7 linked regions of the Oryctolagus cuniculus genome follow. The protein of the gene in region 1 interacts with the protein of each later gene in a pairwise test. Links are inferred from orthologs where the notes say so. Each region holds a gene or a part of one and is shown in the gene's direction. Other genes may lie near its edges. The genes, in order: EGFR, CDK1, FRK, RAF1, STAT1, PTPN12 and MAPK8.

Region 1 (3,992 bases):
GTTTCCACGGACTTCTGCCACCGTTCCTGGAAGAGCTCTCCCCAGCACCACGGAGGAATGTGGTGGGGGCCCAGAAGGTCTCACACTTTGTCTTTTTTTGGGGTACTCAGGATAAATCGCTGCACTTTTAAAAGTCAGTCGAGGGTCACATGGACACCACGATTTGTGCCACCAATCATCCTGGCGGGCAGCGAGTGTGCCTAGGGTTCGTCCGTGGCTCCTGTAGCGGAACGCAGGATCACGGGTGCCCTTCTGTTTCCTGGCTCCTCTTCTAGCTTTTGTCTCTAGCTTTTGTATTTGCGTTTCTTTGCAGCCTGCTCTAAGTCTTCTGGTTTGGAATGTGGGCTGGGAACCAAACACACGGCTGGCTGTGGACTTCACAGCCTTGCTCACCCGGGGCAGCCGCGATTCCTCAGAACAAAGAACAAGCCAGCCGCTCACTCTGGTTCCCCGCAAACCCCACCTTTCCCGCGGCCGGGCGGGGCGCAAACCCGCAGAGCAGGGAAGCGCTGAAGAAGCCCTGGAGCCGAGGCGGGGTGCCCTCGGCCCAAGGGTTCAGAGAAAGTCCCCGCAGCTCCAGGAAGCTCCACTTCCTGTGGCCAAATCCTCAGTGACTCTTGCTGGCGTCTGCGGTGCTGTGCGCGACCGACATCCTCGGCCCTCGCTCCCGGAGCCAGTCCCTGGCACAGTGGAGGCCGTGGGCGCACCGGGACCTCACGCATTCACTCAAGGAACGCAAAGGAAAGCCGCTCTCCCAGCGGGGAGCCGAGCGCGCTCGTTCCCAACGACTTCGAGGGCGCTCAGGGGGCCCCTAGGGGCCCCAGCCGCCCGTCTGGGTCTGGCTCTGCTGGGGACTCTTGCCCCGGGGCCCCAGCGGCCCCTCTGCGTGGTCACCCACCTCGGCCCTCGGGCTCAGCCGGTTTGTCCGGAGCCTGCTCCAGGTGGCTCCGTCTACAGAAGGGGCCGGTGAGGGGACCAGGCCCGGCTGCGCCCCGCGCTGGGAACCGACCCGGCCTGGGGTCGCGGCGCGCGGAACGCCCCTCTCGGGAACTCGCTCCCGGCGCCAGGTCCCGCGGGGCCGCGGCGTCCACGCCTCCGCTCGCCGCTCTTCCTCCCGCTCGCATTCTCCTCCTCCTCCGCGCCTCCGACCCCTCCTCCTCCGCTGGGCCCTCCTCCCGCCGCCTCCCCACGCCCGCCGCCCGGCAGACGTCTGGGCAGCTCGGCGCAGCGCGGCAGCCGCTCCTCACCCGCCGCCCGGAGTCCCCGAGGCCAGGCGCGGGCGTCCCAGGCCGGACCCAGGCGGGACTCAGGCGCCCGCGTCTGCCCCGCGCACGGAGCCCGACGCCCTTCCGAACCGACCGCACAGTTGAGCGCGCAGCGGCAGCGATGCGACCCTCGGGGCCGGTCGGGCCCGCGCTCCTGGCGCTGCTGGCCGCGCTCCTGCAGGCGGGACAGGCGCTGGAGGAGAAGAGAGGTAAGGGCGCGACCCGCACCACACCGCGCCGCGGTCTTCCCGACTTCCGTGAGGACCCTCGGGCTGAAACCGCTCTGGACGTCTAGCTCCTGGGCTGCGCGAGTCGCACCAGGGGAGCTCCGGCGCCGAGCGCTGCCCAAGCTGCTCCATACCCGGCACGTGCGCCCCGCGCAGTCCGCGCACCCATGGGCGGTGCGTCCCACCCGCGGCCCTGGGAGTTTAGGTTGGATCCGGGAGCTGCGCGCACCTTCCGGGACTGGCGCTTCCCGAGCGCACCCTCCCCGCGCCGGCCCCACCCGGTCCCGGGCTGCAACCAGAGGCCCCGCGAGCCCTTCCCGCGTGAGGGGCTGCGGCCGGAGCGGGGGCTGGAGGACTCCTGTCGCCCACCACGCGAGGCTGCTGGGCCGGGACGGCGCGGGGAACTGGGGCTGGGGTCCTGTCCGGCACGCCCCTGGCGCGCAGTCCCCGCCCCGCGCCGAGCGGCCGGGTGCGGCCGGGCCAGGTGCTTGGCGGCGCGGCGAACCCGGCCCCCACCTGCGTGCTTGCTCCGCAGGACTGGCTGGGCGGCGGGTCTCGGCTCCGAGCCCGCCCTGCGCGTCCCCCACGGTTTTCTCAAAGTCCCAAGATTTTCTCCTTTTTGGCGTTTCCTTTTGCTTTCTGAAAAGTTTGATATTGGGCCAACCAAAATATTAAACTGTATCAAAACCAGGAAAGGATGCGGTCCGGGCCCCACGTGCGCGAAGGCCCCGCGGAGTGGGCCTCGCCGCGAGACGCCCGCCGCGGGAGGCCGCGTTGCACAATCCCCGGCTGGGCCGGCTTCCGAGAGAGTCAGGTCCCTGCTTGCCGTTGATGTCATCGGCCTCGGGTCTGGGCTCTGGCGCCGGGCGCGTCTGCGGGCCAGGGGTGCTGCGGCGGCCCCAAACTTCGCTGCAGGTGGGAATCACCTGGGACTGAAAAACGAAAATAGTAATAAACAACGAACTGGAAAAGAGGGGAGAGGGCGAGGGGAGGTTGAGGCGGGGGAGAGGAAGCGAGGACCACGTCCGGCTCCCGCTCACGGATACCCCGATTTAATTGGTGTGGGGTGAGAGCCGGCCTTGGGTTTTAACAGCTCGGGCAGGCTTGCGAGTCCTGGCGTGGAGGAAAGAAGGGCGAAGTGTCCAGAAGGCTCACCCGCTAGCCGTGGAGCTTCCCCCAATCTGCGCAGCTCTCGCAGAGCGCCGCGAAGGCAGGGCTTGGCCAAGGGGGCTCTGAGGCCCCCGGTGCGCGGCTCCGGTACACCGAGTGCTCAGTGCCTTCTCACCCCAGAAGTGCGCCCAGCTCCTAAGTGGGGCTGCCTCCCCGCTGCCGCCGTGGTGGGAGATTTGTTTCTTGTTTGCCCTGTGTTCGCCAGTGCTGTGGTGAGAAAGGGCGCGCACGCTCCGTTAACATGAGGCAGAGAGACTGGCGAGGATCTAATTACTAAAACTGCGAGGCATAATCTTCCTATAGAAGTTGTTAAGGACCCATGTCAATCACGTGCCAATTCCATTCCAGGAGAATTGGTGAGGGTTTTTTGGGTCTCAGCTAGGAAACCGGTATTGGCTGCCCTCAGATCTAACAACCAGACCTGGCTCCTGCGTCCTCACCTCCTTCCTCATTTTCCCGCCCTGCAGGAGAAGATCGATTTCCCCACCGCTCACAAGAGGCAGGGTCAGGGCTGAGACGCCACTGCCTTCTGCAGCCCAGGTGTGGGGAGCCAGGTCAGGTGTACGCGGCTGACTCACCTCACTTGCAGCACAGAGGAAAAGTACCAGGAACGGCTCATCAAGTTGGGCTCCCCTCCTGAGGCTGCAAACACACCCTGCTAACCAGTGGTCTGCTCTCCTCAGGGTTCCTCAGCCTGGTGGGGACAGCTCTGTCACCAAATCCCTGAGCCAAGCTTGCTAGGGGAGTTGAACAAGGCCTGGATCCTCGCTCCAGGGAAGGCACTGCTGAGGAGGAGGTCCTGGGGTGTTCCCAGGAGCTCAGGAATTCTCAGCCACAAGCTTCTTGTGGGGATGAGCCTGGCCACCCCTGGTTCAGTGGGCCTGGGCCGTGTTAAAGAGAAACCAAAGCAGAGGTGGTAGGGAATCCAAGACGAAGGATGGGATGCCCCGGCTGGCCTGGCAGCCGGCCTTGTCTTCTCACTCCAGCTGCGGGTGGAGGTGAACAGGTCACATCCAAGCGCCAAGCTTCTCGATCCCCTTTCTGAGTTCAGTATTTGTGAATTCAGTATTCACTGTGCGTGCCTGGTATCATGAGTTAAAAGGGAGGAGAGTTATGACAGCTACTGGAAATGGGATTCTGCAAGTCGCTAAATACTAGTAAATTTCCTTTTTACTCTTTCAGAGTCTTGTCTATCGCACAGACAGGCAGAAACCTGGTGATAGCTCCAGCCGGCTCTGAACAGTCATTTCTGGCTTCATGCATTTGGTTTCATAATCCATCGTTTTTCACAAACCTTTCTCTGGTGTTTGAAGAAGCCAGCTGCCAAAAT
Region 2 (3,942 bases), on another chromosome or scaffold:
AAGACCTCTCTGTCTCTACCTCTCTCTGTAACTCTTTCAAATAAATAAAATAATTCTTAAAAAAAAAAAAAAAGAATGTTTAAGGGGGTTGGGGCTGTGGCACAGTGAGTTAAAGTCACAGCCTGCAGTGCCAGCATCCCATATGGGCATCAGTTCTAGTCCCAGCTGCTCCACTTCCTCTCCAGCTCCCTGCTAATGCACCCGGGAAAGCAACAGAGGATGGCCCAGGTCCTAGGGCCCCTGTACACAATGTGGGAGACCCAGAATAAGCTCCTGGCTCCTGGATTGGCCTGGCCACTGCGGCCATTTGGGGAGTGAATCTCTGGATGGAAGATCTCTCTTCTCTATCTCTCCTCTCTCTGTAACTCTGCCTTTCAAATAAATAAATCTTTTTTAAAAACAAAGAATGTATACAATTCTGTTGTGAAAATTTCAAACATTAAAATTTTGTTAAATTTCTAATAAATAGGGGCAGTGTTTGGCACAGAAGTTAAAATGCCTGCATTCCACGTGGGAGTTCCTGGGTCCCAGTCCCTGTTCTGCTCTTTCCAATTCCTGCTAATGTAATTGTGGTGGGTCACAGATATGGTTCAAGTACTTGGGCCCCTGCCATGGATGTGGGAGACCCGATTGAGTTCCTGGCTCGCAGATGGAGGATCTCTCTCTCCCCAACCCTCCTTCTCAAATAAAACAAATTAAAATTGTTTTCATTACGTAAACATTTAGGTAAAAAACTGTAAGTTCAAAAGTTTCATAGATGAGTCAAAAACAACCACAGCTATGTATGCATACGCATATAAATTTAAAATCGGAAATTTTTGTTTACACTTTGGTGGACATTTTCGTGGACATGAGAGTTTCTCATTATTTCTTTAGTAAATATGCTCCTTTGGCCTAGCCTGGAAATCACATCACTCACTTAGAAAAACCTAAGTATACACTACCCCTAAGTATTAGAAGTTCTGGCAACTCGATGTAAGTGCAGTTTCACTTGTGTGATGAGCTGTTTGAGTGCCATCAAGTTAAACTGCTCGAGACAGGGAGAGAATCAAAACAGAACGAACGATCCATTCCCGATGACTAGAAACAGGAGGACGACGCCTTCCTGGAATGCAAGAGGGCGCCTGCGTTCTGATTCAGTTGGCGCCCGCCCTCCTGCTTTTTTTCCAGCCGCCGTTTCCTCTTTCTTTCGCGCTCTGGCTACCCGGGAAGCCCCTCCCAAGCCCAGCCGGCCTCTGATTGGTGTCTTTGAAAGTCTACGAGCCCTGTGATTGGTGGGTCTGGGTCCCTTTAGCGCGGTGAGTTTGAAACTGCTCGCACTTAGTTTCAAAGCTGGCTCTGGCAAGTTGAGCTTAGAGCTTCGCGGACGTGGTTATCTGGCGCCGCGGCCGCCGCGGAGAGAACAAGCCGGGTAGAGTTACTGCAGGGCGGCGGGGGTCGTGCCTGCCGGGCGTCCTCTCTCCAGGGGCCGGCCTGGGGTCTCCCTTGGGCGGCGAGTACGGAGGGAGGGCATGCTCTCGGGGAGGCTGGGGATCCGGGGTGGGTGCAGGGCCAGGCTGGGCGCTCAGCCCGGCCCGGGGCTTGGGTTTCGGAGGGGCCGGGGGGCGCCCCTCCGTGCGCGGTTACCTGGGGAGGGCTGGGGCTGCCCTCGGCCTCGTAGTCGGCCCGCGGGGGTGGCCGACCCCGCTTGAGACGGCTCTGGGCGGTGATGGAGGCAGAAAGCCAGGCGTTGGGTCGAGCACGCTGAGCCCCCGCCGCCTGGCAGGCGCAGCCGCAGGCCCCGCGCCCCGCGCGCTCCGCTTCCGGCGGGGGGATGGGAAGCCGCCCGCACCTGGGCCAGGTGCGCACCCAGCGAGTTCACACGCGCAGACTCCCGCGAGTGAGGCGACTGCGTGAACCCGGCCCTGTCGGGCCGGGCTGGGCTCTGCCTGCGACCCTCGCGCTCCCAGCGCTTTTAAGAACGCTAAGGCACAAGGCTGAGGTTTTATTTATTTATTTTTTTTAATTGTGGAGCTGGCAAAAAGCGGAAAGCTGAGAAATGCCGAGCAAATTAACACGTTTTGCATTTTAATAAGTACGAGTCGTTTCTTAAAATCCAGTGCCAGTTTGCGCCGTGCACTTCTTATATCCTGAGACCTGGAGGTCTCTGGGTAGGGAGGTGGGGGGGGGGTCACCGTTGATTTTATTTTATTTTTTTTTTTTACATCTGCAGCTGGTAGTACAGAGCCCCAGGAGACATTCGAAAGGCATACAGGGCAGCTTCCTTTATTATAATTATTATAACTGGGTAATGGTGGGAGAGTAATTGAGCCCAACTTTGAGTTGATTTTTAGCTACTTGTTCAAACGAGTTCAGTTGTGTGCTGTGGGTATGTTCAATCTGGTCATTGAGGACAAAGAGAAGCGTCCACTGCCATTTTGTAAAATTATAAATGGCTAAGAGTGGCACTCATGACCACGGGAGTGCAGCTCTGCTCGTTTAAAAATTTTTTTCGAAACCGCTTCTTGGATTGATTTTTCTTTGCCAATGAATATGAGAAATGGAACTTCTTAAGGGATTAGTTGCTAGCTTTTATGATCATTAGAACTGTGGAATTTCATTTTCTTGTATCTCTGCTATTTCCTACTTCTGCAAATATATATATATATATTTTCCTCTCTTGGAAAAAATATATATATATGCAAACTCACATGTTTGCTGAAAACAAAGGAGAAAGATTGTTATTTGCAAGTGTAAACAGATGTTTTTTAAAAGCTTTAAACAAAACTTAATGGGTAAATAACCTCACCCCATTTTAGTTCCTTCTTATGACTTTAAAAAAAAGTTTGTTTTGAAGCATCTTTGTAAAAACACCCAAAAGCTGTACAAATTCAGTCATTTAACATTTGTTGAAATATTTGTGTGTAATCCCATTATACACTGGTACTACTGTAAAAACATTCTGGTTTTTGTTTGAGAAGAGTAAATAAGTTGATGTCTGAATTTGGATTAATTTGATTGGAAGATTTTAAATACTAATATCAGCATGGAATATATGCATTTCCGATGTTTTAGAGCTAAGAAGGATGGGAAAATCTTTTTTTTTTAATTTTTTTTATTTACTTGAAAGAGAGTTACAGAGAGAGGTAGAGACAGAGAGAGAGGTCTTATATCCGCTGGTTCACTCCCCAGATGGCCGCTACGGCTGGAGCTGCGCTGATCCAGAGCCAGAAACTTACTCCAGGTCTCCCATGCGGGTGCAGGGCCCAAGCACCTGGGCCATCCTCCACTGCCCTCCCAGGCCATAGCAGAGAGCTGGACTGGAAGAGGAGCAACTGGGACTAGAACCAGTGCCCATATGGGATGCTTTAACCCACTGTGCCATAGTGCCGGCCCCAAGATGGGAAAGTCTTATTCCAGGAGTCTTTTTCTTTACCTTTGTAAATATTTTAACATAATAACTAATGTTTATAGTACTTAACTATACATTGCAGGAAGCACTATACCTTTGAGTTATTGCCATATAATCAAAGCTATTTTTCCTCTCATTTTAGGATCTACCATACCTACTGATTAACTATGGAGGATTATACCAAAATCGAGAAAATTGGAGAAGGTGAGTGATTTTAAAAATACAGGTTTTTTAAAAATAGAAAAATGATCATTTATATCATGGAGACATGTAAATATTGGAATAATGTGCAGTGGTATATGTTCTTTACTATTAACAGTTAAAGAGAATTGAAATTATACTCTGATGGCCTTCCTTTCCGTTCCTTCTGTAATCTTACATATTTCTGATACTGAAAAAACAGCAGTTAAAATATGATCTTAAATTTAATGTTACAGGCATTTAGTGGAGTCACAAGACCCCTTTTCTTTCAGACACTATGATAGTGTTAAGTCCTTGGATCTCAGTTTCTGCCCCTGCAAATGGAGATGATTGTACTCACAAGATGGTTG
Region 3 (3,500 bases), on another chromosome or scaffold:
AGCTTTGCAGGGTATAGTATCTGGGTTGACAGTTTTTTTTTTTTCTCTTAAGACTTGGAATATATCTTGCCATTCTCTCCTAGCCTGTAGGGTTTCTGATGAGAAATCAGCTGTCAATCTGAATGGAGATCCTCTGAAGGTAATCTGGCATTACTCTTGTGCACATTTTAGAATCGTTTCTTTATGCCTTACTGTTAAAAGCTTGAAACAGTGCTTCATGGTGAAGACCTTTTCTAATCAAGTCTATTATGAGTTCTGTGAGTTTCATATTTGGATGTGCCTTTCTTCTTCAAATTAGGGGTATTTTCTGTTATTATTTCACTGAATATGTATTCTAATATGTTCTATTTTTCTACACCTTTCAGGAACTCCTAAGACATATATGTTAGATTGTTTTATATTAACACATAAAACTTGAGTGCTGTTTTCAATTTTTCTCATTTTTTCTTTGCCTGACTGAGATATTTCCAAAGGTTTGTCTTCAAGCTCAGATATTCTTTTTTCTGCCTCATCAAATTTGTTGTTAAGGATTCCCAATGTATTTTTATTTGACACATTGAATTCTTAATTTCTAATATTTCAATTCAATTTCTCTTCAATATCTCCATCTCATGGGAAATTTTTTTCCATGTCATGTCGGAATTTATTTTAGTCATGAATTTGCTTCTTACTTGTTTTGAGTAATATTTTGATTGGTTTTCCAAGTTCCTTTTCAGGCATACCCTGAAATGACCTGATGCATGTCACCAATCTCTTCATCTTCACATTCTAATATTGAAGAGTTGTGTTCCTTTGGGATAGGCATATTGTCTTCCTTGTTCGTGTTTCTCATGTTTGTACTGTTATTTTTAGACATTTGTGGAACTGCTTGTTTTTCTCCTCTGATGACTTTATCTTTGGTTCTGTGAATCAGTAGAATGTTCCTTCAGTGCATCTTCAGAGGCATGTGCTGGGTGGGGCCAGGGAGCTCTGGTCAGTGCTTGGGGTGGTTCTAAAGTCCGGGTTGAAATTTATGTTGTGTATGGTAGATCTTTATTGCCAGTAAAGGGGAGGGTATGCTAAATTTGGAATCATTGCCTCACTTCCTCTTTGCTGAGGTGATCAATGCCCAGGGCCAGCCCACAGTGGCTACACATCCCACACATGCATTCACAAGAAACACTTAAAATATCTCTGTGGTTTTCAGTGTGAGCATTGAATCCTCTGCAGCAGCCTACCTCAGCAGTTAGGGAACTCTGAACCTCTGGACCCAGACAGAGATCACCCAAAGACCTAGCTACACTCCACACCCAATTGTGCAGTGGCAGAACTCCTAAAGCCATAGAGTACAGGGCTCCTACCGTCACAGGGAGTAGGGAATCCACTCTCAACCCTATGAGGCTGCTCTGTCCTTGGAGAGAGATATTTTCTCAGGTCCAGATGCCTTCAGTGTTCTGCTTTGCAGTTTGAGTACATGCATCAGTGATATGGAGGGAGGTAAGTGCTTACAGGCTTAAGTGGGCTCTCTGCCCCCTGCCAAACCTCTGTCCCAGACTCAAAGTCAATGGAGACCACTGAATTATCCCTCAGATAAAGTCCCCTATCACCTGTAAGTAAGCCAAGGCAGCCTATACTCATCTTTTAAAATGACACTTCCTCCCTGCTATTTGCCTGGAGCCCTTATACGGGAGGAGAAGAATGGGAAGCAGGCAATGTGTTCTCACATAATAGGTTTAGGTGGGCACCCTGCCCCTCACTATTGCTCCAGAGAAGACTGAAAGTGCTTGTGGTCCACAAGGTCCTCTCTCAGGCAACATCACTAATGACATGGGCTGCCATAGTCTCCTCCCATTTCTCTTTAAGAAAATCCTTATTTCTTCCACAAAGAAGAAAACAGGAAATCATAAGCAACCGTATTATAAATTATGTTATTGTTTATGGTTGAATTAGTGATCTGTTTTCACTTAGTACCATCCTTTGTCTTCCTTTATTTTCTTTATAAAAGCACTACAATTTTTATAGTTACCCTATCCACCTTGGCTCACTTTATGCCAGGCTATATGCATGCTGACAATCTCAAAGCAAGTATAGACTGTTTCATTCTCTCCAGCCCATTTTGTAATATCTTTCCAAAACATACTGATAGAGAGACACAATATGAGGTTTTTCTCTGAATTTAATTTTGAAATCCACATTGTACCCTAAAAATATGGATATGGGGCATGAAACACAAGTATGATTCCCTTTTGATCATCATGAATTCATCATCTTTTTAAAATTAATTAGAACACCAGTGAGTTGATATATTAATTTAAATCATTTAGATTCTACTTTTCAGTATTAGCAAGTGGTTACATGGTAATTATCAAAGTCAGAGGGTCTTCAATACCAGCGGTAAATCAAAAAGCAGACTCTGCTTCCTTTTTTTTATTTGTGAAAAGACTAGATATGAATCCAGGATTATCATGTGAGAACTCTGCCATATGTTGTAGAGTGCTCCTGTGAGTGCTATTCTTAGCACACAGTAGGCTCTCAAATATTTTATCAATTTGGTATTGTATGCCAGATTCAGAATTTACTATTGTAATTATCAATTGAACTAAATTTTAATGTGCAGTAGGTTGTGAATGAATGAGAATAGCAAGAAAAAAAATCATCACATTATCTTGGCTTGATTCCTTAATGTACTAACAGGTAGATAATGAAGATATCTATGAATCTAAACATGAAATAAAGCTGCCGGTGAAGTGGACTGCACCTGAAGCCATTCGTTCTAATAAATTCAGCATTAAGTCCGATGTGTGGTCATTTGGAATCCTTCTTTATGAAATCATTACTTATGGCAAAATGCCTTATAGTGGTGAGTAATTAATTCTGAAGTGGGCCTTTCTGCTGCAGGTCACTTATTTAGGTGTGACTTTAACTGCTTTGTCCAGACTTAGAGGGCAGAGTTATGACGCTGACCATAGCATGTACCTGTGGGAGCCTGAAAGATAAAATTTGATGATGATAATTTGCATTAATGAGGTGGTTTATTGCTTCCTTCTCCTTTGCTCTTGAATTGCAGTCTTATAGACATTACTTGCTTCAGGATTTAGTTTAATCTCTGCAACCTGGGAAGGTGGTATTAGACCTCATAGCTCTGCGAAAGAAAATGATGTGCTTTATAATCTAGAGTACTCATAGGAATCTATGAATTTAAGACTTTGATCTTTAACTTTTTTTCTTATTTTTGATTCAATTCTGTATTTTTTTAGGCATGACAGGTGCTCAGGTAATCCAGTTGTTGAGTCAAAACTATAGACTCCCACAACCATCTAACTGTCCAGAGCAATTCTACAACATCATGTTGGAGTGCTGGAATGCAGAGCCAAAGGAACGACCGACATTTGAGACATTGCATTGGAAGCTTGAGGACTATTTTGAAACAGACTCTTCATATTCAGATACAAATAACTTCATAAGTTGAACACTGAAGAACATCAAATAATGAAGTAGTAAAAAATGGAATAATCAATTCA
Region 4 (2,784 bases), on another chromosome or scaffold:
GAGGGCAGCAGCCTCTATAAACATCTGCACGTCCAGGAGACCAAGTTCCAGATGTTCCAGTTAATTGACATCGCCCGCCAGACAGCACAAGGCATGGAGTGAGTAGATGGCCTGGTGCCAAGCATTCACTTGTCCCAGAGTCAGAAAAGCCTTCTAAGGCCACAAGTGATTCTGCAACGACCGCGCACAACTGAAAACGGTCCCTGGGCTGGAGTGACCAGGAGTGAGAAGTTCGGGTTCCTCACCTAAGCTAGGCTGCCTCCTGGAGGCGCACGTTCGGGCTCTTGCTGTTACCTGTGTTTCAGCCTGAGACTGAGAACGTGCGGGGGCGCGTCCCTCCTGCCGGGGCAGTGTGCCAGGTCCCTGCTGCGCGTCTGGGGCACGGCCCTCCCACAGGCGGGTTTGAGCGGGTGTCACTTTCTAGGTTCTCTTCCTTGTAGAGAAGCAGTGAAGGGCTTGCCTGCCCCCTCTGTGCTGCAGGACCCATGCTTGAGTGGGAGCCATGTGCACGTGCACGAGCGTGTGCTTCCCTGGCCGCCCCGCCAGCGCGTCACAGAGCTCTGCAGGGATTCCTGTGCACAGAGGCCTGAGCCGGTCAGCACCGGCGCTTGCGGGGCTCACAGATTCCCACGTTGTAGTTTAAAATTCAGAGGGAAGCTGCCTTCTCTGCATATGTTTTTAAAGACTTATTTACTTATGTATGTATTAAGGCAGAGTAAGAGAGGGAGAGACAGATCGTCCATTTCTGGGGTCGTTCCCCCAATGGCCACAGCAGTCCGGAACTCCACTGGGTCTCCCAGGCGTATTAGCAGGGAGCTGGATCTGGAGGGGGACAGCTGGGACTTGAACCTGCCCTCCTCTAGAGGATGCCAGCATTGCCAGCAGCAGCTTAGCCTGCTGCACCAGCCTCTGCCTCCAGTATCTCTTAAGAAATAACTCGCCGGGATTACTTTAGAGAAAATATACTTGGACCATAATTCACATACCATAAAACTCACCCTTTGAAGAAGTATACAGCTCTGTGGTTTTACACTAAATGGAGAGCTGTGTAGCCATCGTCGCGCACTTGAGAATATTTTCATCAGCCCAGAAAGCTGTACCCTCAGCAGTCATCCCCAGCCGACAGTCTGGCTCGTCTCTGTGGATCTTACCTGTCGTGCATTTCCTGTAAGTGGATCTGGAGATCTCGCTTGGAGATACACAGCTGCGTACATGGTTGGTGGAGCCACGTCAGTGACGGCTTCCTTTCTGGGCTTGTCAGAACTACCTGAGTCAAACTGGTGCTTTAGAGGAGTCCGAGCGCGTCTGTACGGTGGCCTCACCTTCGAGGTGTGGATTGGGCTGAGCTGGCACAGGACCAGGGCCTGTAGTGACACCTCCCTGGGGACCTGCAAGCTTTCCAGTGGCTTTGCCTCTTAAGCTGCAGTTAGAAATGGCTTTCTACCCACGTCCCACAAACTGCTTTTAAAAATTTATTTTCCTTTCACAGCTACTTGCATGCAAAGAATATCATTCACAGAGACATGAAATCCAACAGTATCCTTTGGTTGCTGGGTTTAGTTTGATGTGTCAGTTTTTGTTTGTTTGTGTTTTTAGAGATTTATTTATCTGAAACACAGAGCTACAGAGAGAAGTAGACACAGAGAGAGGGAGGGAGAGAGAGAGAGAGAGAGAGAGAGGTCTTCCATCCATGGGTTCACTCCCCAAATCTGCTGTAACAGCCAGAGCTGGGCTGATCCAAAGCCAGGAGCAGGGAGCTCCTTCTGGGTTTCCTATGTGGGTGCAGAGCCCCAAGGACTTGGGCCATCCTTCGCTGCTTTCTCAGGCCACAGCACAGAGCTGGATTGGAAGTGGAGCAGCTGAGCCTTGAACTAGTACCCACATGGGATGTTGGCGTGGCAGGCCAGGGCTTTAACCTGCTGTGGCACAATGCCAGCCCTAGCTCTTCAGTTCTAAAGTAGGGAAACAGGAGCCTTTGGATCACCAGTGGCTCCTGGAGCAGGGGATTTCTTTTTTCTTTTTCTTTTTTTAATTACAAAAAGAGGCAAAAGACAGGAAGAAATTTCTTTCGAAAAACGAAATGTTAGGGTGTACCTTGGTGTGCCCAGAGTGATGCCGAGGGAAAGTCTGCTCTGGAAAGATTCTCACAAGTTGAGATACGTGTTTGGGTTAAACTTGAAAAAATCTAGTATTATACTGTTTATTGCTAAATTTAACTGGGCTTTTGTCTTTATTTTATTTCTAGTTGGTGGACAGTGTATATCTGGTCAGAAAGCAGCTATGAGCTAAAAGTTGCAAGATGGCCAAAATTATTCAGCTGTCTGTTTTCAACATCCAGAGGCGGTTTCTTTAGAGGAGACCCGTGGTCTCTGCCAGGTGTTTTTATAGAACGGAGCATGGAGAGAGGTGTTTTTCATGCTACAGAGAATAACTTTGAACAGTAAAGTCCACCACCCTCCCCAGCTCTTGGCTTCTTGGCCAACTAGAGGCGTAGGGGTTGTGTTGTCACAACATGAGACATGGCCTATGTTAGCTGTGAGACATGGGGTGTTTCTGGCAGCCAAACTTGACCATGAAAGCAGTTCCCACACGTTTGGGGAATAAGCTCCTGGCACCCGCAGGTCACAGGAGCACCCGTTAGGGAGCAAGTGTGGTTTGAATTTCAAAGTCACCACGTGCTCCGTATTCCGATGAGAAATGTGACGACGACATTCAGTAAGGGACTTGCTCTTTTTGTTAACACTCACATTTCATTTGATCCTTTGGGGACAGAATGCAGGCACG
Region 5 (3,500 bases), on another chromosome or scaffold:
AAGTTAAAAAAAAAAATCCATGTGCAGCACAGGCTGGATTGGGAACATGGTGGCAGCAGATCTTGGGACTAGAGAGGAAAGTGTCAGCCCCAAATTTGGGGTTGGGCCAGGAAATTGGAGGATGGTTATGCCACTCTGCTTTGGTAACAGGTTTTGAGGGAGATAAGATCGAGCCTGGGTTTGTTCATGTGAATTTATTGCTTCCCCTGCTCTGTGCCAGGTGTGGTGGGTGTACAAGCTCACCCAGCCTCTAGAACCAGCGTGTTGATAGGGAATAAGCTGCCAGGGTTCACTTGGCTAGTAAGAGGTTGCAGCCTCTACCGGGGGCCAGGCCCACATATTTGCTTTAGGGATATCCTTGGTAGACACCTAGCAGGCAGGGAGAGAGCCTCAGGTGTGGAGACTTCTGCTCAGGTAAAATACATCTGGAGCAAAAAATCAAATTGCCACAGCAGGTGTGCAAATGGGGTGGGCCCGGGTCCCTTTCTGCTGGTATTTGTGAGGTGAGTAGCTCTGTCGTCACTTGTGGGGTAGACAAGGCCTGGCGTTAGCACACTCAGGGACCTGTGTGCATCCACACTGATCCATGCCTTTCTGGAAACTGTGCACTCCTTCCCCCAGGCTCGGGCAGGACAAGGTTCACTGGTGTCCACTCTGAATGTTGCTAGCCAAAGGCTGCTATAAATCCTAAATTATATAATGGTCGTGTGAGGCTGTTCATTGTCCTAATGGATTTTAGGACTTCCTTAATCAGGCTTTTGTTGAAGTTTTTCTTCTTTAAGATTGAAGAGTAAAATTGACTTAACAGTTACCCAGAGAAATAAGTGTGACTTTGTCCCTTCGAATTACATTTGATAATGTTTGAGCCTTCAGAAATTATTAGTGAGGTCTAGGATTTCTTTTGTGCCAGCTTTATCGTTTGCTGTAGGCAGAGAACATATGTACTTCTAAGATGTTATAACGAAGATAATTTTACCATATGTGTTGGTTAGTTTTCTATTGCCATGATAAAACAATCAAGGCTCTGTCACTTATAAAGAAAGGAGGTTTATTTAACTCATGGTTTTGAAGGCTGGTAAGTCGAAACAATGTGGTGCCAGCTCCAGTGATGGCCCCTGGCTTGGCACATTTTGGTGGACGGCATCATGGTGGGAGTGCATGCAGCTGGTGCAATCACATGGCAAGACAAAAAGCCAGAGACACTGAAGAGGGAAAAGCCCTGCTGGGTTTTTTTTTTTTTTTTTAACTTAATTTAATTTTTATATTCTCTTGGGGGAACTAGCCAGAGTCCCATGAGAATTGCATCAGTTCCTTCTCAGGGAAGCACCCCTGACCCAATCGCCTTACACTAGGCCCCACTTCTTTTAAGTTCTATATGGTCCCCCAACATCATCATGCTGAGGACCAAGCTGCCAACACGCAGGAAACCCCAGGGGACACACTGGAACCATGGAGCAGAAAATGAGAGTGAAAAGTTCTTGGAGTAAATCACACATGTACTGTAATTTTGCTGGGGAACGATTTTTGGAGAGCTTTTGCAGTGATCATAAAGCAAAACTAAATAAAGTGTTGCATTTTTTGTTTGCTAAAAAGGCAGATTCATTTAAAATGTTTATTTTACTTACCAGCTATTTATTTATTTATATTTTTTACAATTTGCTTATCTGAAACTCAGACATAGAAAAAGATTCTCTATCCACTGATTCACTCCCCACATGCCTGCAGCCGTCAGTGCTGGGCCTAGCTGAAACCAGGAGCCTGAAACACAGTGCAGGTCTCCCGCACGAGGGGCAGGGTCACCGTCTGCTGCCTTCCAGGGCGCACATTTGTAGGAAGCTGGGGCTCCAATCCAGACGCTCCGGTGTGGGGTGCGGGTGTCCCAAGGACTGTCTTAACTGTTGTACCAAATGCCCGCCCCGGCTCATTTTAAAGTCTTTATGAGTACTTCGTATGTGTGCTCTGGAGATAAAACAGGGGACAAAGTCCTCTTCCCCCTAAAATCTTTTCCTTCATGTGGTCAAATCAGACCATAATCAAAATAATAAAGTACCTGGTGGGTCAGTGTATGCTGTGGAGGGTGGTTTCTTAGGCAGGAGGCGGTTGTGATGTAAATACGGTGGAGAGGGAAAGCTGTGTGTTGACATTTGAGCAAAGATCGGGAGATGTGTTTCCTGGAGAAGGAGAAAATGTTGATCCTCAAACTCAATTAAAAAAACGTGGTTTAGAATATAGGCATTTAAATGATATATTTCAGAGACAGATTGTGTATGGGGTTAAGATGTGTACAAGAGCGTGAAGAAAGAAGGCTTTCTTTAGAGCTGCAGTCTTCCGTCTGTGACACGTTGCTCTCTTCCTGCAGGATGTCTCAGTGGTATGAGCTTCAGCAGCTCGACTCTAAATTCCTGGAGCAGGTTCACCAGCTCTATGATGACAGTTTTCCCATGGAAATTCGACAGTACCTGGCACAGTGGCTAGAAAATCAGGACTGGTAAGGAGAACTCACTAGACAGGAACACGTCTATCTACACTCCAGAAGTACTTGGTGCAAGACGTTCCTAGTCATCAGGGAAATGCAGATCCAAGCCACAGTGGGATACTGCCTCCCTCCGGTTACCATAGCTATGATCAAAAAGACAAAGACAGCAAATGCTCATGGGGATGTGGAGAAAGGGAATCCTTGCACCATTGGTGGGAATGTAAATTAGCATGGCCATTATGGAAAACAGTATGGAGATTCCCCAAAAATCAAAAATAGAACCATAATATGATTCCACTACTAGGAATATATATCTAATTGAAAATGAAGTTAGTCTGCTGAAGAGATACCTGCAGTCTCATGTTTTATTGCAGCATAACTCACAATAGTGGAAACTTCTCAACTGAAGGATGGATAAAGAAAATGTGTCTAAACACGATGGAATACTATTCAGCCGTAGAAAGGAATGAAGTCTGTCATTTACAATAACCCAGATGGAACTAGGGGACAGTGATATTAAATGAAAGAATCCAGACACAAATACCATGATCTTGCTCATATGTGTCATCTAAAACTGATCTCATGGAAGTTGAGAATAGGATGGTGGTTACCAGAGACTGGCCAACAGATACTAAGTGTCAGTTAGGTAGGAGTAATAAATCCTGGTGTTCTGTTGCATAATGGGATGATTATAGGTAATAATGTACTGTGAACTCTAATAACAAAAAACCTAGAAGAAAAGATTTTGAATGTTTTGCCATGGAGAGGTGATAAATGTGTGAGGAGATGGATATACTTGATTGTGAGCATTACACAATGAATGCACACACTGAAATATTACTTGGTACACCATAACTACAACTACATACAATTTTATTTATCACTTAAATATATATATATAAAAATTTTAAAAATGTATTTGTTTATTAAATGAGTTGGAGCTAAATTTACACAAAGATAAATCTCATCAATGACCAGAGATTCCATCTGTCACATAAAAGTTTAAAAACTGGGGTTTGTCTCT
Region 6 (2,307 bases), on another chromosome or scaffold:
TGAGAAAACAATGGAAGATGGCCCAAACTACCTGGGCCTCTACACCCACATAGGAGACCTAGATGGAGTTCCAAGCTCCTGGCTTTGAACTGACCCAGCCATGGCCGTTGCAGCCATTTAGGGAGTGAACCAGCAGGTGGAAGATCTCTTTCTCTCTGTCTCTTCCTGTTTCTCTAGAACCCTGCATTTCAAATAAATAAAGGTATCTTAAGAAAAAGAAAGCAGAACTTGTAATGCACTGCCCACATTAAAACAATGCCAGAGTTTTGAGTGTGCTGCTGCTAAGGATGGTGATTAACAAGGGCTTTGTTTCTGCATTTTAGATCATCTATCAGCAAGTATTCACACAGAATCTTGTGCAGAATGTCCACCTATTTTCAGTGACAAGAAAGATCAAATATCAGAAAGTCCATCAGAAGCCACAGATATCGGTAATTTGTTTAACGAATAATTTTTAAAAAGCAAAGCATGCAAGAATGAAAAAAAGTCACTTGCCATTGTTTCAAGTTTTTCATAAAATTTTTGACTTTGCTCTACTCAGGTTCTAATATGGTGTTTGCCAAAAATAAAATATGTCTGATTAAACTTGCTTGGAATTAATCCTGAAAGAAGTGAAACACTTAATTCTATTTCACACTGTGATTAAAAATCAAACTATAAAAAAATCCTTTTTGTTGGAAAATCTATGTATCTTACATGCTTTTCTTGTGTCATAAGATTGGTTGTATTTTTAGCATGATGTTAAAAGTAGCAATTATTTTCAAAATAAATTTACAATTATAAGTGTTTACAATTGTTTTGCATCTACCTACCAAGTGTTATTTGGTTCAAATTCTAAATTCTCATATAAAAATTTCTTTGTTCCTGAAAATGATAATGTCCACAGACTTGGAGTGTGAAAGTTTTTTCAAACACCAATCAGTTATTGTGGTATCTTTTTTTCTGTAGGTTTTGGTAATCGCTGTGGAAGACCTAAAGGACCAAGAGATCCTCCTTCAGAATGGACATGATTCAGGGAGCTAAAAGACACTTTAAATTATACTGGAAAATCCAAGTGCCACCAAAAGCCAGATTTATAGTATTCCATCTTTCAAATGTGGGACTAACAGCAGTGTAGGTTGTTACCTTAATATTTTTTGCTGGGACCATCTACCTGCCTTATACTACACTTAGGAAAAAGTATTACATATGGTTTTATTTTGTAACTTCAAGTATTATTGCCTTAATGTCTTTTAACCCTGTTACAACGCTGCTTGTAGACATGTTAATATAGTAATACTTTTATGATAAATTGACTTTAAGGACTACTCTTTTGCTGTTTTATCATGTATGCATTATTTTGTATATGTACAGGGCAAGTAGGTATATAACTTGATAAAGTTGCAGTCATAAAATATTATTAACAGAAGATGTAAGAAATTTCTGCATGGTCTAAATCTTTGTGTACTTTATTTGTAAATTATTTGCCCTGAAGTTTTAGAAAATAGTTTCTGAATTTTAAAATTGCTGGATTCATGCAGCCAGCATTGCAGGTTATCAGAGATCAAAGATTGTAATAATACATTTTGTAAATTGTAAGCAAAAAGTTATTTTTATATTATATACTGTCTAATTGTTCATCTTAATTGTCCTTGTTTTCAACTAGTCATGGAGATTCAGTAAGTGCCTTGGAACAATATTGAAGTCTCTTAGCTTGTGTGTGTTACTTTAATATTTGAACTCAACTGGGATTAGAAGACTATCAGATTATATGTATGTTTCAGAATATTTGACCTGCCATTAAAACAACAAAAACAATTTTACAGTGCCTATGTGTTGTCTTGGTTTTTTCATTCCCTATTCTTGGGAATTTAGACTTAATATCGGCTTCTTTGCTGGCTTGGTCCTTGCGATAAATGTGAATGGACTTTAATTTCTTTGTGCCTCCTGCAAAACAAACATGGCTTTTATCCTTGAGCCAAACCATTTTCCTCCTTATCATTATTAACCCACCATCAAATGTCCTGATAGAACACCCACCAAAGTGTGGTTAGGAAAACAGAACTGTTTCTTCCTACCTCTGCATATTAAAAAAAAAAATGAGAGAGAGTAACCTTATATTAATAGAATGGCATTGTTTTAAAGAAAAAAATAATACTATAACTTTGTGTTAGAATATTATCAAAGTTAAATACTTGGCAATGCCAGCATCCCATGGGTATCAGTTCGAGTCCCGGCTGCTCCATTTCTATCTAACCTGCTGCCTGCTCATGGTCTGGGAAAAGCAATGGAAGATGGCCCAAGTGGTCAAGCCTCTGTCACCCACGT
Region 7 (3,500 bases), on another chromosome or scaffold:
TTCTCAGTTTTGGGGCTGTTCAGCATGAAGCTTCCTAGTAAAAGCTCTCTCTCTGACTTGCAGCGGCCATCTTCTCACTTTGTGCTCATGTGGCCTTTGCTTGCTGAGTGCTTATAGAAAAAAAGAAAGATCTCTCTCAGAAGGCCACTAATCCCACTTAGAGGGCCTACTTCCATAAATTCATCCGAACAATCATCTGTCAGAGGCCCCATCTCCAGTCATTGTTATGCTGGGAGATAGGACCTCAGTGTAGGAATCTGGGGGAAGATAACCCTTCAATCTGACACTGGTGTTAGAGCAATTATAGTATGAACAGTGTAAAGGAGATGTTAGAATCCTCGGCCTGTATGGTAGCCTAGGCATTAGAAAACAGAGATTGAAATTGAGGCTGATGGTAGAGTAAATAGCATTCCTTGGAATATTTGTTATGGTGCAGGATACTGAAAAAGGAGTTAAAAATCACCAAGCCTTCTATTATAAAAGAGAGGACACACTGGAATAGTGAAGGGTTTGAATAGGAATGAATGAGTAAATTATGTATTTTGTGAGACATCCATGTAAACTAGCAATGTATATCTGGCACTCAGAAGCTAAGCAAAGGGGCAGGCACTGTAATGTAGCAGGTAAAGCCACCACCTGCAGTGCCCGCATCCCATATGGGCCTTGGTGCAAATCCCAGCTGCTCCACTTCTGATCCAGCTCCCTGCTAATGTGCCTGAGAAAGCAGCGGAAGGTGGCCCAAATGCTCAGGCTCCTGTACCCCCGTGGAAGACCTGAAAGAAGCGCCAGGCTTCTGGTCGGCCCAGCTCCAGCTGTTGCAGCCATTTGGGGAGTGAAACAGCGGATGGAAGACACACCCCTCTGCCTCTGCCTCTCTAACTCTGCCTTTCAAATAAATAAATAAATCTTTAAAAAACAAAGAAGCAGCAGCTAAGCAAAGACTCCAGATGCATATTCGGGAATTATCCATATGGAGATGTTTGGAGAAAAAGATGTGCAGGGAAAGGGCCCAGCCAGAACAGGATTAAAGACAGTAGTGGGAGAGAGTATGCGTGAGGATGAACCAGGGAAATAGACCTTGGAACAAAGAAAATGGAACAGGAACAGTATTATGAAGAGCAAGGGGAGGAAAATGCCAAGATTACAGTAGTTCCCTCCATCTGTGGTTTTGCTTTTCACAATTTCAGGTACTCAACAGTCCTTGTGGCCCAAGAATATTATGTGGAAAATTTCAGAAATAAAAATTTGCAAGTTTTAAATTGTGTGCTATTCTAAGAACAGTTATGAAATCTCGCACTGTCCTGGTGTGTTTGATACCAGACATGAATCCTCCCTTTGTGCATTGTGACTATGCCGTATGCCTCTTAGTCCTTAAGTAGCCATTTCAGTTGTCCGTTCACTGTCATCGTGTCACAGTGTTTCTGTTCACTAGGTAGTAGCCTAATACAGTGTCACAGTGCCTTTGTCAGTTTCCTCATCTCATCTCATCACATGGACATCGTACTGTTTCACATCACAAACAGGAAGGTGAGGGGCCGGCACTGTGGCTCAGAAAGTTAAGCTGCTGTGTGGAATACCAACCCATATGAGCACTGGTTCCAGTCCCGGCTGCTCTACTTCTGATCCAGCTCCTTGCCAATATGCCTGGGAAAGCAGTGGAAGACGGCCCAAGTCCTTAGACACCTGCCACCCACGTGGAAGACCAGGGTGAAGTTCCTGACTCCTGGTTTTGGCTCAGCCCAGACCCAGCCATTGCAGCCATTTGGAAGTGAGCTAGTAGATGGAAGATCTCCCTCTTTCTTTGTCTCTCCCTCTCTCTGTGTCACTCTGTGTCTCAAATGAACAAAATTTTTTTTTTTTAAGATTTATTCATTTTATTTGAGAGAGTTACAAACAGAGGGAGAAAGAGACAGGTCTTCATTCACTGGTTCACTTCCCAAATGGCCATAAACAGCCAGAGCTGGGCCGATCCATAGCCAGAAGCCAGAAACTGCCTCCGGATTCTCCACGTGAGTGAAGGGGCCCAAACACTTGAGCCATCTTCCACTGCTTTCCCAGGCTATAGGCAGGGAGCTGGATTGGAAAAGAAGCAGCCAGGACACAAACTGGTGCCCATATGGGATGCCAGCACCGCAGGCAGAGTCTTAACCTACTGTGCCACAGTGCTGGTCCCAATTAATAATAAATCTTTGAAAAGAAAAAGACGAGTGTAATACAATAAATATTTTAAGGAACCACACTGACATAAGTGTTTTAATATACTTTATTAAATTCATGGTTCCGTTTTATTAATAGTTATTGTTTTAGGCTCTTAGTGTGTCTAATTTGCAAGTTAAGCTTCATGATAGACATGTATAGATAGGAAAAAGAATAGTATAGGGTTCCACACCGTCTGTGGTTTCAGACATACACCGAGGACACAGATCTGCTGGTTGAAGAGCTGCAGCGGGTTTTTAAGATTTACTGAAAACTGTGTAGAGGTTTGTGTAATGTAAGTGCTTGACACTTGTGTGTTTATAAATGGAATGGGTTATATGAAATTATGATGTTGATAAGGTTTTTTAAAAAGCATTTTAGAGCAGTTTTAGCTTCACAACAAAATTGAGAGGAACATACAGAGAGTGTCCGTGTCTCCCCTGCTCCCCAGCATGCACAGTCTCCCAAAGAATCGGCACCCCCCACCAGAGTGGTGTGTGTGTTACAGCTGATCCTCCCTGACACTGTATCAGAGTCTGCAGCTCATGCTAGGGTTCATTCTTGATGGGGCATATTTTATGATTTGAACCAACATAAAATGAGGTATTCACCTCTATGGTATTGTCTGCTTTTTCATTTCTTCCTTCCCCACTCCCCTCCCCTAGCCGTGAATGTTTTAGTGTATAAAATAAAAGAAGGGTGGGTGTTGTGGTACAGCAGATTAAACTGCCACACGAGACACCCACATCCCATACCAGAGTGCATGGTTTGAGTCTTGGCTACTCTGTCACTCTTCTTCTAATCTGGCTCCCTGCTAATTCACAACCCCAAGTCGTTGAGTCCCAGCCACTCACATGGGAGCCTGGTAGCTCCTGTCTTCAGCCTGACATTGTGGGAGTGAACTAGGGGATCAAATATAGCACTCTCTCTGCCTTTCAAATCAATAAAAATAAATAGGTATTTAAAAATAAAAGGTTACTTGAGCTTATAAAATTTTAGTGATTATAGTGGTGGCTTTTTATAAAACTGTATTTGCAGTTTGCAAATGAAAATGTTATGAAGTGGTTTCTAATTTTTCTGTTTGTTTTCTCCACAGATAATTGGCCTTTTGAATGTTTTTACACCACAGAAATCTCTAGAAGAATTTCAAGATGTGTAAGTGTGTCAATTAAAATTGTATTATGTTAGTACATTATTCTTAGATTGATTTGTACACTTTAGCTGTCATCTTTTTCCACCCATGAAGTTACATAGTCATGGAGCTCATGGATGCGAATCTTTGCCAAGTGATTCAGATGGAACTA

What was found.
Region 2: the proteins of EGFR (region 1) and CDK1 interact in binary tests that used the Homo sapiens proteins (3 or more experiments, as listed by UniProt). The link is inferred for Oryctolagus cuniculus from reciprocal best matches to the Homo sapiens genes EGFR and CDK1.
Region 3: the proteins of EGFR (region 1) and FRK interact in a protein complementation assay, tested with the Homo sapiens proteins (3 studies listed by BioGRID and IntAct, with this or other methods). The link is inferred for Oryctolagus cuniculus from reciprocal best matches to the Homo sapiens genes EGFR and FRK.
Region 4: the proteins of EGFR (region 1) and RAF1 interact in a protein complementation assay, tested with the Homo sapiens proteins (3 studies listed by BioGRID and IntAct, with this or other methods). The link is inferred for Oryctolagus cuniculus from reciprocal best matches to the Homo sapiens genes EGFR and RAF1.
Region 5: the proteins of EGFR (region 1) and STAT1 interact in binary tests that used the Homo sapiens proteins (3 or more experiments, as listed by UniProt). The link is inferred for Oryctolagus cuniculus from reciprocal best matches to the Homo sapiens genes EGFR and STAT1.
Region 6: the proteins of EGFR (region 1) and PTPN12 interact in binary tests that used the Homo sapiens proteins (3 or more experiments, as listed by UniProt). The link is inferred for Oryctolagus cuniculus from reciprocal best matches to the Homo sapiens genes EGFR and PTPN12.
Region 7: the proteins of EGFR (region 1) and MAPK8 interact in a protein complementation assay, tested with the Homo sapiens proteins (3 studies listed by BioGRID and IntAct, with this or other methods). The link is inferred for Oryctolagus cuniculus from reciprocal best matches to the Homo sapiens genes EGFR and MAPK8.

The regions. Positions count from the first base shown.
Region 1 is NC_091447.1:57,745,942-57,749,933, forward strand, and holds the start of EGFR (epidermal growth factor receptor), read left to right. Parts: upstream 1-1,192; 5' UTR 1,193-1,386; coding exon 1,387-1,474; intron 1,475-3,992. UniProt on the Homo sapiens protein: Receptor tyrosine kinase binding ligands of the EGF family and activating several signaling cascades to convert extracellular cues into appropriate cellular responses.
Region 2 is NC_091446.1:53,159,327-53,163,268, forward strand, and holds the start of CDK1 (cyclin-dependent kinase 1), read left to right. Parts: upstream 1-1,142; 5' UTR 1,143-1,298; exon of another isoform or gene 1,299-1,496; intron 1,497-3,533; 5' UTR 3,534-3,558; coding exon 3,559-3,595; intron 3,596-3,942. UniProt on the Homo sapiens protein: Plays a key role in the control of the eukaryotic cell cycle by modulating the centrosome cycle as well as mitotic onset; promotes G2-M transition via association with multiple interphase cyclins.
Region 3 is NC_091436.1:55,225,748-55,229,247, forward strand, and holds part of FRK (tyrosine-protein kinase FRK), read left to right. Parts: intron 1-2,673; coding exon 2,674-2,839; intron 2,840-3,236; coding exon 3,237-3,448; 3' UTR 3,449-3,500. UniProt on the Homo sapiens protein: Non-receptor tyrosine-protein kinase that negatively regulates cell proliferation.
Region 4 is NC_091441.1:114,678,497-114,681,280, forward strand, and holds part of RAF1 (RAF proto-oncogene serine/threonine-protein kinase), read left to right. Parts: coding exon 1-98; intron 99-1,489; coding exon 1,490-1,536; intron 1,537-2,784. UniProt on the Homo sapiens protein: Serine/threonine-protein kinase that acts as a regulatory link between the membrane-associated Ras GTPases and the MAPK/ERK cascade, and this critical regulatory link functions as a switch determining cell fate decisions including proliferation, differentiation, apoptosis, survival and oncogenic transformation.
Region 5 is NC_091434.1:49,297,924-49,301,423, forward strand, and holds part of STAT1 (signal transducer and activator of transcription 1-alpha/beta), read left to right. Parts: intron 1-2,359; 5' UTR 2,360-2,360; coding exon 2,361-2,488; intron 2,489-3,500. UniProt on the Homo sapiens protein: Signal transducer and transcription activator that mediates cellular responses to interferons (IFNs), cytokine KITLG/SCF and other cytokines and other growth factors.
Region 6 is NC_091434.1:142,131,530-142,133,836, forward strand, and holds the end of PTPN12 (tyrosine-protein phosphatase non-receptor type 12), read left to right. Parts: intron 1-323; coding exon 324-431; intron 432-948; coding exon 949-1,010; 3' UTR 1,011-1,807; downstream 1,808-2,307. UniProt on the Homo sapiens protein: Dephosphorylates a range of proteins, and thereby regulates cellular signaling cascades. Dephosphorylates cellular tyrosine kinases, such as ERBB2 and PTK2B/PYK2, and thereby regulates signaling via ERBB2 and PTK2B/PYK2.
Region 7 is NC_091446.1:81,393,328-81,396,827, forward strand, and holds part of MAPK8 (mitogen-activated protein kinase 8), read left to right. Parts: intron 1-3,292; coding exon 3,293-3,351; intron 3,352-3,442; coding exon 3,443-3,500. UniProt on the Homo sapiens protein: Serine/threonine-protein kinase involved in various processes such as cell proliferation, differentiation, migration, transformation and programmed cell death.